2 linked regions of the Stegostoma tigrinum genome follow. The protein of the gene in region 2 purifies or fractionates together with the protein of the main gene of each other region. This does not show direct contact. Links are inferred from orthologs where the notes say so. Each region holds a gene or a part of one and is shown on either strand. Other genes may lie near its edges. The genes, in order: slc39a10 and mettl9.

Region 1 (8,041 bases), on a different chromosome or scaffold from region 2:
TTACCAACATGCTACCATCTTCCTCCAACAACCCTCCCCTTCATCCAAGGACATTGGATATTACTCAACCTACTTACTAAATAAAAAGATAAAATGTTGCATTTCAAATTAGAACTGAAATTAGCATTTACCATTTACGAATCAACTCGTTTCATTTGTTGTAATTTTCATTCTGTCCATTGTTGCAATGGATTAGACTATATGTCACTTTCCTCATCAAGAACCCTATTATTGAAGGGGTATAATTACAGAATGACCGGTACTCAAAAAAATACTTCAATTATAAATCCACATCCTCAATTCAGCATTTCAGTGCTGCACTTAATTAGTCTAATGGATGCAAATTTGGAAGCTAGTGTTATGGCAATCTTAAATTCTTAGAAAACCATTTCAGCGATGGAAGGGCAGAGAGGGCAGTTTATTTTGCAATGGTATCAACAGCAGGTTGATTCATACACCACACACATTAGTTATGATAAAATTCAATTACAGATATGGCTCTGTTCCCCCAATATGACACTAGGATAAATTAAACCCATTTTACTTGGCTCCAAAATAAAAAACGCTTTTCCATAAAAGGTGTGGCCAGAGGGGCCAGATGCAAAGTTCCACCTCATCATCCCAAATAGTCTTACGGTAAGACAAAAATTTTGATCTAGATGTGAAAATACCAAAAGGAAGATTACATACACACAATATACAAGTTGGGAATTAATTTGTATTTTCTGGAACTAATTTTGGAAACCTTCCAAAACTAGTAAACAGCCTATAAGAATTGACAAATTGTAATAAACCTTGCTATGAAATCTCAAATGCAAAATAATTGAAATCATACTTAAAAGTCAGCCTTTAGTGAGGAATTTATCATCTTGCGTATTGATTCTTTACTGCAAATGGACAAAAAGATGTTACTACCTATGCTGTGCTCAAACCTAGGGATCAGGTCAATAACAGGCTGTAATAAATCCCAAAAAAGTAATTTGAAAGAGTGCTCTTTGCCCAAAAGCGTGTAGTATTTACCAAATGCTGGTAAAATACAAACATACTTATCACTTCCGTTAAAGTTGGAGGGGAAAAAACACTAAAGGATTCTGATAGGGTTGAACGAAGCCGAAGTTTGTGACACAAACACTGGACTAAACCAGTTCGGCTGAAATAATCGTTTGTGTTGCCGACTCAAAAATGCTGACAACCAAGTCATGGGACACAGCTATATTACTGATTGGACCTTATACTGAGTAGGCAACAGAATAGTTTGGTTGCCATGCCACCAAGTTGAAATTTTCTATTTAAAAGGTTTATATATTCATTGTAAAAATCCATCAAGTTAATACCACACTTCCAAATTATACGCACTTGTACAAAACGCTCTCGTATTTCAGGTGGGCAAGTGGTCACTACGACTGACTACTAAATGATTAGGATTCTGTCAGTACTAATTTAATGGCACAATTATCACTGTTACTGCTGGAACAACTGACGGTATGTCTTTTTTAAAAGACAGTTTTATTTCCAGTTTGTCCGTTATTCCCCTTTGAGTCCCATTGATTTGCCAATCTCCTCAGCACCCCCCCCAAAAAAAAAGTAAGCTCTGTGCAAGACAAAAGCATCAAAACGTTGGGCATTAATTTTTGAAACCAGTTTTCCACATTGCGTTTGGGGTACGTGCTTATGATCTACTGAAAAATTAATTGCTTCCGATGAGGATTCACGGGTAGATTTTCCATTTTCAAATGTTTAGAGAATTGCTTGTACATCAACATTATTTTAAAATAAAAACACTAGAAAATCACCAGTGTACGATACTCCGCATGAATTGCAATCTGCACTGACCAAAAGGCACTTAAACCAAAGCACAAGATTGAAAAATATACACACACCACCTCGAAAACAAACTGAAATTCAAGCTAGAGTTGATAAACACTGGTCGATTTAATTTCGTCATTATCACACAAAACATCTGACGATTTAAAAAAGTGTTATGGTATTACAATTTTATTACATTGGAATGATCATTACTGGACTGATAGAAGTTGTCATTTCATTCGCAGCTCTCAAAGAAAATAGAAAACGTATTAACTAGGAAAAACAAAATCAACTAAAACATCTGCAAGTGACTGACTGCTCCGCATTAGAAAATGCTAACAATGGCTTTTTTAAAAAAAAACTACAACGTATTTACGTGCCAATCTCCACATAACGGTCAGCGTTTCAGCCGCAGCGAACCTCGAGCTCGCTACTTGGGTTTATTATTTTAACGCTGGAGGTAAACCGGTTAAAAGAAAGTTAAGAAAATCGGGTCGGCGGGAAGTCATGCGTCCGAAAGAAAAAGCGTCCAAAAACCGGGTGCCGAAACTAATACTCTTTTTATAAAGATCCATAAGAGGTGGGGGGCGGGGAGGAGAGAAAAGCATCGACGAGATTTTTAAGAGAAAAGCACCACGAGGGCCGTAGCCGGCGGTAAACGGCGAACAGGGCAGCCAGCGGCTGCTCAGTGCTAAGCACACTGCAGTGCCGCAGCAACAAAATCGAAGACGCGGTGTTTGGCGCCGGGCTCCCGCCGCTCCGCAAGTACAACATTACAACGGCCGCCGGCAGATTAAATAAAACCCCAACCGGCGCCGCCGTCGGCATCCCTCTACTCTCCACCACATACAAACAAAAATAAAAAGACGTGTACTCTTTACAACGCCTAAATCAAACATCTCGTCATTAGGCCTCGAATCAGGCGGTCGCCCCGCCATTGTTATTCTGAAGCACGTTTTACTCTTAAAACACCCAACATCGGAGAGAGAGAGAGAGAAAAAATGGCAACACGTGACGCCGACCCAAGCTCGAGCGCAGCGAGACCCGTCTTTTTCTCTCTGTCTCCCCCTGCCACCCACCCCATTTGCTTTCCTCTCCCCAACGATCCCTTTCTGCACGCGTTCAACACGCGGGATTTCAACCAAACGGAATACATTCGCCTGGCGCAGCTCAGCGCCCAGAGCTGCACACTCGCGTGTAAACGCTCGGCGACTGGGGCGGTGAGAAGGGAAACAAATGGGTGTTTAAATACCTCACTCGAGTGCCGTGTGCATCCTCTCCGCTCGGTACCAACACAGGGAGCGCGGAGGGCGGGCCGGGGCCGCGCGGGGCTGGACCACGGTGCGCGCGCGCGCTACACGACGCTCGCGCCAACTAACCTCCCTTTCAAAACTCCAACGGCCGGCTTGACCGTTTATCGGCCTGAGCGCACACTCACACAGTCAGTGTGATCAAACAGACACACACACAGCATACCAGTCTGATCAGACGCACAGACACATACACAAACAGACTACACACACGTACATGCATAAACACACAACATGCAGTCAGCCTGATCTTACACACACGTGCATGCACAAACACACAGTCTGATCTTAACACACACACACACAACCAGTCTAACCTTCTACACACAGGACCAGAGATAATGGGAACTGCAGATGCTGGAGAATTCCAAGATAATAAAATGTGAGGCTGGATGAACACAGCAGGCCAAGCAGCATCTCAGGAGCACAAAAGCTGATGTTTCGGGCCTAGACCCTTTACACACAGGACCAGTCTGATCTCTCTCTCACACACAAAATTCGATTCCACCCTTGGGTGACTATTGACTACATAGGTTTCCTGCCATAATCCAAAGATGTGCAGGCTAGGTGGATTGGCCATGCTAAATTACCCGCAGTGTTCAGGGATACGTAAATTAGGCAGGTTATAGGGGAATGGGTCATGGTGGGATGCTTCGAGGGCTGGTGTGGATATGTTGGGCTGAAAGGCCTATTTCTACACTGTAGGGATTTTATGAAAACGAGTCTGATCACTCACTCGCGCGCACACACACACACACACACACACAACCAGGCTGATCACTCACACACACACACACACAACCAGCCTGGTCACTCACACGCACACACAGCCAGCCTGATCACACTCACATGCACACACACACACAACCAGGCTGATCACTCACACGCACACAACCAGCCTGATCACTCACACACACACACACACACACAACCAGCCTGATCTTTCACACACACACACACACACACACAACCAGCCTGATCTTTCACACACACACACACACACACAACCAGCCTGATCTTTCACACACACACACACACACAACCAGCCTGATCACTCACACACACACACACACACACACACACACAACCAGCCTGATCTTTCACACACACACACACACACACACACACACACACACAACCAGCCTGATCACTCACACACACACACACACACACACAACCAGCCTGATCACTCACAAACACACACAACCGGCCTGATCACTCACGCACACACAACCAGCCTGATCACTCACACGCACACAACCAGCCTGATCACTCACACGCACACACAACCAGTCTGATCACTCACACGCACTCACACACACACACACACAACCAGCCTGATCACTCACACGCACACACAGCCTGCCTGATCACACTCACACGCACACACACACACACACACACACACACAACCAGGCTGATCACTCACACGCACACACACACACACACACACACACACAACCAGCCTGATCACTCACACACACAACCAGCCTGATCACTCACACGCACCACAACCAGCCTGATCACACTCACACACACACACACACACACACACAACCAGCCTGATCACTCACACGCACACACAGCCTGCCTGATCACACTCACACGCACACACACACACACACACACACACACAACCAGGCTGATCACTCACACGCACACACACACACACACACACACACACAACCAGCCTGATCACTCACACACACAACCAGCCTGATCACTCACACGCACCACAACCAGCCTGATCACTCACACACACACACACACACACACACACAACCAGCCTGATCTTTCACACACACACACACACACACACACACACACACACAACCAGCCTGATCACTCACACACACACACACACACACACAACCAGCCTGATCACTCACAAACACACACAACCGGCCTGATCACTCACGCACACACAACCAGCCTGATCACTCACACGCACAACCAGCCTGATTACTCACATGCACACACACAACCAGCCTGATCACACACAGACAGACACACACACACACAACCAGCCTGATCACACGCAGACACACACACCAGTCTGATCACACACAGGCAACCAGTCTGATCACACACATGTGTGTGCACACCCAGTCTGATCTCATGCACGCATACACACACACACCCAGTCTGATCACACACAAGCACACGCACGCACACACAGCCTGATCAAACACACACACATGCACAGTCTGATCTCACACACACACACACACAGTCTGATCACATAGAACATTACAGCGCAGAACAGGCCCTTCAACCCTTGTTGTTGCACTGACCTGTGAACTAATCCACGCCCATCTCCGTACACTATCCCATCATCATCCATATGCTTATCCAAGGACTGTTTAAATGCCCCTAATGTGGCTGAGTTAACCACATTGGCAGGCAGGGCATTCCACGCCCTTACCACTCCTGAGTAAAGAACCTGCCTCTGACATCTGCCTTAAATCTATCACCCCTCAATTTGCAGCTATGCCCCATCGTACAAGCCAACGTCATCATCCTAGGAAAAACACTCTCACTGTCCACCCTATCTAATCCTCTGATCATCTTGTATGTCTCTATTAAATCCCCTCTTAGCCGCCTTCTCTCCAATGAGAACAGACCCAAGTCCCTCAGCCTTTCCTCATAAGACCTTCGCTCCAGACCAGGCAACATCCTGGTAAAATAGTATCAGAGATAATGGGAACTGCAGATGCTGGAGAATTCCAAGATAATAAAATGTGAGGCTGGATGAACACAGCAGGCCAAGCAGCATCTCAGGAGCACAAAAGCTGACGTTTCGGGCCTAGACTAGGCCCGAAGCGTCAGCTTTTGTGCTCCTGAGATGCTGCTTGGCCTGCTGTGTTCATCCAGCCTCACATTTTATTATCTAACATCCTGGTAAATCTCCTCTGCACCTTTTCCAATGCTTCCATATTCTTCCTGTAGTGGGGTAATCAGAACTGCACGCAATATTCCAAGTGAGGCCGCACTGGCGATTTATATAGTTGAAGCATGACATCACGGCTCCAGAACTCAATCCTTCAACCAATAAAACCTAACACACTGTATGTCTTCTTAACAGCACTATCAACCTGGGTGGCAACTTTCAGGGACCTATGTAAATGGACACCAAGATCCCTCTGCACATCCACAGTACCAAGACTCTTTCCATTGACCCAGTATTCTGCCTTCCTATTATTCTTCCCAAAGTGAATCACCTCATATTTATCTGTATTAAACTCCATTTGCCACCTTTCAGCCCAATTCTGCAGCTTATCCAAGTCTCCCTGCAACGTGCAACATTATTCCACACTGTCCACCACTCCACCGACTTTAGTGTCATTTGCAAACTTACTAACCCGCCCACCCAGGCCTGCGTCCAAGTCATTTATAAAAATGACAGACAGCAGTGGTCCCAAAACAGATCCTTGAGGCACACCACTAGTAACCAGACTCCAGGCTGAATATTTTCCATCAACCACCACTCATTGCCTTCTTAGAGAAAGCCAGTTTCTAATCCAAACTGCTAAACCTCCCTCAATCCCATGCCTCCGCATTTTTTCCAATAGCTTACCATGTGGAACCTTATCAAAGGCTTTACTGAAGCCCATGTACACTACGTCAACTGCCCTTCCCTCATCCTCATGCTTGGTCACCTTCTCAAAAAACTCAATGAGGTTTGTGAGACATGACCTGCCCTTGACAAATCCATGTTGACTATCTCCAATCAATTTGTTGCTTGCTAGATGATTATAAATCCTATCTCTTAGAATCCTTTCCAAAACTTCCTACAACAGACGTAAGGCTCACTGGTCTATAATTACAACTGGGCCATCTCTACTGCCCTTCTTGAACAAGGGCACAACATTTGCAATCCTCCAGTCCTCTGGTACTAAACCTGTAGACAATGACGACTCAAAGATCAAGGCTAAAGGCTCCTCCATCTCCTCCCTAGCATCCCAGAGTATCCTCAGAAAAATCCCATCCGACCCAGGGGATTATCAACCTTTACAACTTCTAGAATTCATAACACCTCCTCCTTACTAACCTCAATCCTTTCAAGTCTAATAGCCCATATCTCAGTCTTCTCCTCTACAATACTCTCGTTTTCTTGAGTGAAAACAGATGAGAAATGTTCGTTTAGCACCTCTCCGATCTCCACCAGGTCCACACACAACTTCCCACTTCTGTCTTTGACTGGCCCTATTCCTACCCTAGTCATCCTTTTATTGCTCACATACCTATAGAAAGCTTTAGGGTTCTCCTTTATTCTACCTGCTAATGACTGCTAATGTTCCCTCCTTGCTCTTCTTAACTTTCTCTTTAAATCCTTCCTAGCTACTCTTCATCGCCTCATCTGAACCATCTCGTCTCAACATCTCATAAGCCTCCCTCTTCCGCTTAACAAGTGATACAATTTCTTCAGTAAACCACGGCTCCCTTAACTTATCACTTCCTCCCTGCCTGACAGGGACATTCCTATCAAGGACACGTAATATCTGTTCCTTAAACCAGCTCCACATTTCGATTGTCACCATCCCCTGCGTTTTGCTCCCCCATTCTATGCCTCCTAAATTTTGCCTAATTGCATTATAATTGCCCTTCCCCCATCTATAACTCTTGCCCTGTGGCATGTTCCTATCCATTTCCATCGCTAAACTAAACGTAACCGATTTATGGTCACTCTCTCCAAAGTGCTCACCTACCACTAAATCAAATACCTGGCCTGCTTCATTACCAAGTACCAGATCCAGGGTGGCCTCCCGTCTTGTCGGCCCGTCGACATACTGTGTCAGGAAACCGTCCAGCACACATTGGACAAAAACTGATCCATCCGACGTACTAGAGTTATAGCATTTCCAGTCAATGTTGTGGAAGTTAAAAGTCTCCCATAATGACCACCCTGTTCCTTTCAGTCCTGC
Region 2 (7,837 bases):
TAGTGGCCACATTTAGAGGTGGAGGTAAGCTACCCTGAACCATTGCAGTCCATTTGATGTGGGTACCTCCACAATTGTGAGAAGGTAGTGTTCCAGGAGTTTGACCCAATCACCATGAAAGAACAATAGTTCCTAGTTGGGACTGAGTACTTAGAGAAAAGTTTCATGTTCCTGGTATATGTTGTCCTAGTTCTTGATGGTAGGGGGGCAGCTGGCTCATTGGTCTATAGTATGATTCTTGCTTCAGGTTTTTCAGTGATTGGGTTTGTATTATCTGGACTATCAATCTTTAAATCCATTTCATACATTTGCAAAGATGTTTTTCCTTTTTTTATATATATTAAAAAAATAAGCATTTGGTTAAGGGCATAAACTCATCAGTAACTAATGACTTCTTTGCTTCTCAGTTTCCTGTTGAGGAGTTCAAAATGCTAACAGTTTTAAAGTCAGTGATTTTTTTTTTTGTTTTTTGTTTTTCTCATCCCAGATCAGTTTAGATGAAAAGTCAGCTGGACTTGGATTTTTGAATGGAAGTAACAGATCAGCTTTCAAGGCTGATGAAGTAGTCAGACTAATATTCAGAACTTTCTCAGGCTATCAGAGATACTTTCTGATAGTCCTGCTTTTTTAAGGTTTCTTATTTTTCAGGAGTGAGTCTTGTTTATTGCAAGTTTTGGAGGTCTTTTCTACTCCACAACTAAGTATCCACTGGAAAATATGCCAACTTCAGAAGAATGTCGTTAGGCCCTATCTCTACCAAACCAAGTTTTCCAGCGAATAAAGCAATAAAGCTGATCCCATCTCAAACAAAGAATGAAGGGTCTAGGCCCGAAATGTCAGCTTCTGTGCTCCTAAGATGCTGCTTGGCCTGCTGTGTTCATCCAGCTCTACGTTTTGTTATAATAAAGAATTGTTTGTCGTCTTGCCAAAGTTACTTGACTTTCGTCCAGTCCCTGTACACCTGCATTCCGCATGGAGATGGCCTCAAGGCCCTCCGCTTCTTCCTGTCCCGCAGGCCCGACCAGTCCCCCTCCACCGACACTCTCATCCGCCTAGCTGAACTCGTCCTCACACTCAACAACTTCTCTTTTGACTCCTCCCACTTCCTACAGACTAAGGGGGTGGCCATGGGCACCCGCATGGGCCCCAGCTATGCCTGCCTCTTTGTAGGTTACGTGGAACAATCCCTCTTCCGCACCTACACAGGCCCCAAACCCCACCTCTTCCTCCGGTACATTGATGACTGTATCGGCGCCGCCTCTTGCTCCCCAGAGGAGCTCGAACAGTTCATCCACTTCACCAACACCTTCCACCCCAACCTTCAGTTCACCTGGGCCATCTCCAGCACATCCCTCACCTTCCTGGACCTCTCAGTCTCCATCTCAGGCAACCAGCTTGTAACTGATGTCCATTTCAAGCCCACCGACTCCCACAGCTACCTAGAATACACCTCCTCCCACCCACCCTCCTGCAAAAATTCCATCCCCTATTCCCAATTCCTCCGCCTCCGCCGCATCTGCTCCCACGATAAGACATTCCACTCCCGCACATCCCAGATGTCCAAGTTCTTTAAGGACCGCAACTTTCCCCCCACGGTGATCGAGAACGCCCTTGACCGCATTTCCCGCGACACATCCCTCACACCCCGCCCCCGCCACAACCGCCCCAAGAGGATCCCCCTCGTTCTCACACACCACCCTACCAACCTCCGGATACAATGTATTATCCTCCGACACTTCCGCCATTTACAATCCGACCCCACCACCCAAGACATTTTTCCATCCCCTCCCCTGTCTGCTTTCCGGAGAGACCACTCACTCCGTGACTCCCTTGTTCGCTCCACACTGCCCTCAAACCCCACCACACCCGGCACCTTCCCCTGCAACCGCAGGAAATGCTACACTTGTCCCCACACCTCCTCCCTCACCCCCATCCCAGGCCCCAAGATGACATTCCACATCAAGCAGAGGTTCACCTGCACATCTGCCAATGTGGTATACTGCATCCACTGTACCTGGTGCGGCTTCCTCTACATTGGGGAAACCAAGCGGAGGCTTGGGGACCGCTTTGCAGAACACCTCCGCTCAGTTCGCAACAAACAACTGCACCTCCCAGTCGCAAACCATTTCCACTCCCCCTCCCATTCTCTTGATGACATGTCCATCACGGGCCTCCTGCACTGCCACAATGATGCCACCCGAAGGTTGCAGGAACAGCAACTCATATTCCGCCTGGGAACCCTGCAGCCATATGGTATCAATGTGGACTTCACCAGTTTCAAAATCTCCCCTTCCCCAACTGCATCCCTAAACCAGCCCAGTTCATCCCCTCCCCCCACTGCACCACACAACCAGCCCAGCTCTTCCCCCCCCACCCACTACATCCCAAAACCAGTCCCACCTGTCTCTGCCTCCCTAACCGGTTCTTCCTCTCACCCATCCCTTCCTCCCACCCCAAGCCGCACCCCCCGCTACCTACTAACCTCATCCCACCTCCTTGACCTGTCCGTCTCCCCTGGACTGACCTATCCCCTCCCTACCTCCCCACCTACACTCTCTCCACCTATCTTCTTTACTCTCCATCTTCGGTCCGCCTCCCCCTCTCTCCCTATTTATTCCAGTTCCCTCCCCCCATCCCCCTCTCTGATGAAGGGTCTAGGCCCGAAACGTCAGCTTTTGTGCTCCTGAGATGCTGCTCGGCCTGCTGTGTTCATCCAGCCTCGCATTTTATTTACTTGACTTTCAGTTTATTTTGGGTAAATTACAGTCCACGTTATTGTCGAACAGTTACAGGAAATCCTTTTTTAATAACAATGTCCAAATAGTTCTGTATTCCAGTTTTAAATAAAAATCTGTATTCTTAACATGCCTTCACAATTATTAATTGAAACAAAATGAAATGGTGTTTATAATGTAAATGTGAAAACATGCACCACAAAGGCATTTTTAAAAGTTGGACTTGCACTAATTTATCTTCACATATATACATTTATATGGTTTCTGGTTTCATTCTTAATCTCTGAATAATGGCAATGTGCATCAATGATCTTGGCTAACATTTTTTGAACAGTAGAAAGTTGTTTCTGTAGCGTGCGTAGGAGTTGTATGATGCAACCCTGCATTGTTCTGACATAACAGAATCAGGCAATTGTCAGTGGAAATAAAGATCCCTTACGGCTGATACTCTTTGAAAGTATCCATTTAAATCATAATTTGAAGAGATTTCCTCTGGTTAATAGTTACCCAGGAAAAGTCAGACAATTAAATAAAACCTGGCTTAACATATAGGTAACATTTAAACGAGCCCCTGACTTATTGCACCAAATAGGGATAAACAGAGAGGGGTCAAACACACTGAGTGAAAGAGAGGGGTTGAAACACAATGCGAGAAACAGAGGGGCGCGGAACACAGCGCGGCTGGAGCAGGGGGTCCGTAACGGCGCGCGAGAAACAGTGTGAGGAAACAGAGGGGCTGATACGTGTGAGAAACATGCATCACCCAAGCCCCTTATACCCCCAAAGATTGAGTTGACATCCAGTTCCAATGTGCCACTGACCCTGACACCCGGTAGGATCTGTCAACACTCCCTCTTCTCAGTGACATGACTTCCCCGTCGTACTTCTGGAATTAGCACCTCTTTGCTGTGGTAGTCAACGTCTCCCTCCCTTTGTCAGACCCAACAGTCCTGCCCACCATCGCTTACCTTGCATTCTAACCTCACACTTTGCGGATATTTTCTAATCTACTCGTTCAGTTGCCATTAGATACTTTGGAGCAGGTGGGATTTGAATCCAGGTCTCCTGATTCAGAGGTGAGTGAACCACCACTGCACAAATAAACTCCCTTTCAGACTATTTTCCAGGAAACATCAAATTGGCTGTCTTAATGCGAGACATTTAAATCACAGAATATAGCAACTACTGCTGTGAAAAAGGGTTTGGGTTGACATTTCCCAATTATTCTGCACTACCTGTTGGATTTAAGATACAAGATAATAAAATGTGAGGCTGGATGAACACAGCAGGCCGAGCAGCATCTCAGGAGCACAAAAGCTGACGTTTCGGGCCTAGACCCTTCATCAGAGAGGGGGATGGGCCTGCTGTGTTCATCCAGCCTCACATTTTATTATCTTGGATTCTCCAGCATCTGCAGTTCCCATTATCACGGATTTAAGATACACCTCATTTCTGAAGGAGCCATAATTGGAATCTACTGCCAGAAATGCGAACTTCTTACTTAATGGGGAAAAACTCTTGGTTGAGATTAACACTCTGAAAAGTCGGGTCTAATTCAGAAATATGTTTTTGAGACTCAGTCAACCAACTCCACTGATGCAGTATAGTATTTGATGTTTAGATTACCGTACAAAAGGTAAGGGACGAAAGTCAGTTTATATTTTGATTCTTTGTGATCCTCGTAGGCACAAACTTCAAAATGTTTAGAGAGACAATACCGATCTCGTAGTTTTTCTTTGGTTTTCCACACTCCATTGTGGTGACCAAAACCCACCAAAATGAAACGTTAAAAATGATCACCATTGCCATTATCCCTAATCCGTGTTAACGCGTTCAAATCCGAGTCTCCAGCTTGAGTCCTGGACCCGGGAACTTTCTCACTTTCAAACGGCACGCCTCTTTGGAAACCCAGAGTAGCCAATCAGGAGCGCCTTCGTCGACTGGCCAATCATGGCATTGAGCTGCAAACCAATCAGAGACGCAAGAAAGCTGTCCAATGCTGAACTGCTCAAGTGTCAGCCAGGAGCGGAAATCTCCCGGGATACAGGAAGTCAGCGGGAATGGGGGACTCTGAGGCTGATTACAGAAACGCACCTTGAGTTTGGGATGTGGTGGGGTCCGTGCTGGTGAAGGGGGGGGGGGGTGGGAGGATGGGAGGATCCTGGACGCATCTGCTGCTTTTTCACCTTCTCTGCAAAATGTTTGCCCCCTGTTGACCCCCGAGAAGGGGGTAAGGGAAGGGTCTCCTGTGGGGAGGGGGTCCCCTGGAGTCCCCGGGATCAGACGGGGTAGCGTTGAGTGGGGTGAGGGGTGTCACACCCCCTCCCGCCCGGAATTCCCAGGACGGCTGTGAAGCGAGTGCTGCTCCTGCTCTGTTACTTTGTTGCACTCCTGCAGCTGAGGAAAATGTGGAGCAGTAAATACCTGCGGAGCCCCTTGTCCCGCTCGTTGTTCAGCAACGTGAGGCATCAGGGCGACGAAGAACACGACAAGTCCCAGGTACATCAGTCTGTTTCTTTGGTTGGAAATAGAAAGTTGTTTTAACCGAGAAAAAGCTTTTGGTGCTGCTGTGAGATTCTAAAGGACGTGCATTTCTGCCGGAATCAAGTTACTGTGTAGAAACCTTGTTGTAATTCATTTCCTGATGCTTATTTTATCCTGCTCCAGTTGTCATAGAGATAGTGATGATAATTGTCTACCTTGATTGAAGCAGACTGGATGGGCTGAATGTCTTACTTCTCCTCCTATATCTTATGGTCACCTGTGACGGATGCCTGTGGTTTGCCGTTCCACTCCAGAAACTTGAGCACAAAATCTTGGTGGATGATCCAGTGCTGTTCTGAGGGAGGGTGAGGATGCCAACAGAGGGTGAACCCTGAGGCATTGGGTGAGGGGTGGGTTGGGCTGGTGGCAGAGTGGATGCACTGAAAGAGGCAGCATGCTGGCAGAGGGCAGGCTGTAAGGTAGGAGGGTAGCTAACAACGGTGTGATCCTGAGAGAAAACTTAAGAATACAGTTCTGAGAAACTGCTGTGTTGTTGGAAAATTGGTACTAGGATCAGGGCTGAGGGTATGCTACACTTTTGAAGTTGTTATTACCTCTTCGATGAGATATTTAGACTGAGGTTCTGGTTACTTTCCCGAGTGGACTTACAACTAATTATACCCTAGTTTGGTGTAAAAATAGCTGCCTATAATTCTTGCTAATGTAATAACTATCATAACACTTCAAACACAAAAATAAATTGCTGGAGAACCTCAGCAAGTCTGGCAGCAACTGGGGACAGAAAGCAGACTTAATATTTCTAGCCCAGTGACATTCTTCAAGACTTTGAGGAAGTTCAGAGGAAAAGTCACTGTACTCAAAACATTGACCCATAGGACCCTAGACCTGTATTCCAGAGTTTTGTGAATTGAATTTGAATTCCACCAGCTGCTGTAGAAGGATGTGAACTTATACCCCAGAGCCTTAGCCTGGGCTTCTGGATAGCCAAACCAGTGACCTTACTTTGCCACTTTCTCCTCCACCCCAGCTATACAGTGATGGAGCACTTAAAATCCAGGAGGTGCATCAAAAGCCCAAAATTGGAACTCAGAGGGTTTGGGGTCTGGAGCAGATTAGAGTTAGGGAGTGTGAGATGAGGCAACGGAGGGATTTATAAACAAGACCAATAGTTTTAAAATTGAAGCATTATTTAGTTATGAGTGAATGTACAAGGATGCTGATGATTTGGTGCAAGTGAGGATATGGCCAGCAGAATATTGAAAGAGCTCATGTTTACCAATGGTGTGAGATGGAAAGCCAGCTAGGCGTAGGATAATCAAATTGGGAGGTAACAAAGGAAGAAGAGATTTAGTAACAATTGTTTGGAGCATGTATAATTACCAGTAATTTCTATCGAAGGTGCTGACACCGTTGTCATTCTTTTTGCAGTGGTATGCCTGTGACATGGAATTGCTGCCAATATGTCTGCAGCCATCATTTGTTCAGAGTCATCTAGATGTGGGGACACATGCGTTTCTCAGGCAATGTTCAGAGAAATCCAGCTGGCTTTTTGTTCAGATTTATTACTCCCTCGTCACTTCTGTGTTTGGTCTGTTCATGTCCAAGACCTCCATCAATGGGTAAAATGATTAATTTTTTAAAAAAATTGTATTTCCAATTTTGTGGGGTCACAAGGCTGTCTTATATTGGTGGTAACTCTCATCCCAGGGTGAAGTGTCTGCTAAGTCCCCACCACCAAGGATCATGCGTATTGTTAAAAGACAGATTAAAAACAGGATGCTGGTTTTAGCTCAAAAAATCACTGAAAATTGACCTGCCATGAACAAAGATGATTGGCACTCTCTCTTGATGCATTTTGAAGGTGGCCAGAGGAGTTCTGACCTGGAGTCCTAGTCATTATTTACATTCCCAACTGTAATGACTCCAGTTGATGTTGTTATTGGACAAGCCAGATCCCAGACTGAAATTTGGGTTGCTAGGTCATGTTAATAAGTGTCTTTCACTGAAACCCAAAATCTAATGATGCAGATTCCAGTTTAACATTAGAACAAGAGTTTATTATACAAAAGAAATGAAGATAAAATAGAATAAATCAAGCTATTGAAATACAACTCAAATTTAAAGATTTTGAATGACATGATAAAATACAATCCCGTTCAACTCAAAAACCACTCCTTTACATAAGAGAGAGTTTTCTTCCCTTTAACACTTATAGTTTTTAATTTTACTGAGGTTTCGGGTTTGAGAATTTGATAGCAACTTCCTGGAGCTTTCATATAATTTATCTTTGGGCTAATTGATGCTCAAAGTCATTCAGAGTTTAAATCAAACACTTCTCATCTGGAACCTTTTAAGCTAAAATTAAACTGAGGCAACCCCTTTCTTAACAGATGTAAAACTACCTGCCTTTCTCAGGAACAACTGAATGACACTTCCAACTTCAGGCAAGTCTTTTGCAAACTGCCCCAAACTGAAACTTAAAAAAAAATTTTACCAAGCTGTGCATACTTCACCTATGGACAAAAAAAAACTAGAATCTTCTATATGAAATTCTAATGTTCGCTTCATTTGCTTGTATGCTTCCCCACTATAAAGAA

Evidence for each region.
Region 1: the proteins of mettl9 (region 2) and slc39a10 purify together in Homo sapiens (co-immunoprecipitation; 3 studies listed by BioGRID and IntAct, with this or other methods). This does not show direct contact. The link is inferred for Stegostoma tigrinum from reciprocal best matches to the Homo sapiens genes METTL9 and SLC39A10.

What each region holds. Positions count from the first base shown.
Region 1 is NC_081360.1:33,020,768-33,028,808, forward strand, and holds the start of slc39a10 (zinc transporter ZIP10), read right to left. Parts: upstream 3,262-8,041; 5' UTR 3,186-3,261; intron 3,138-3,185; exon of another isoform or gene 3,059-3,137; intron 1-3,058. UniProt on the Homo sapiens protein: Zinc-influx transporter. When associated with SLC39A6, the heterodimer formed by SLC39A10 and SLC39A6 mediates cellular zinc uptake to trigger cells to undergo epithelial-to-mesenchymal transition (EMT).
Region 2 is NC_081376.1:34,319,742-34,327,578, forward strand, and holds the start of mettl9 (methyltransferase-like protein 9), read left to right. Parts: upstream 1-4,760; 5' UTR 4,761-5,141; coding exon 5,142-5,234; intron 5,235-6,668; coding exon 6,669-6,859; intron 6,860-7,837. UniProt on the Homo sapiens protein: Protein-histidine N-methyltransferase that specifically catalyzes 1-methylhistidine (pros-methylhistidine) methylation of target proteins.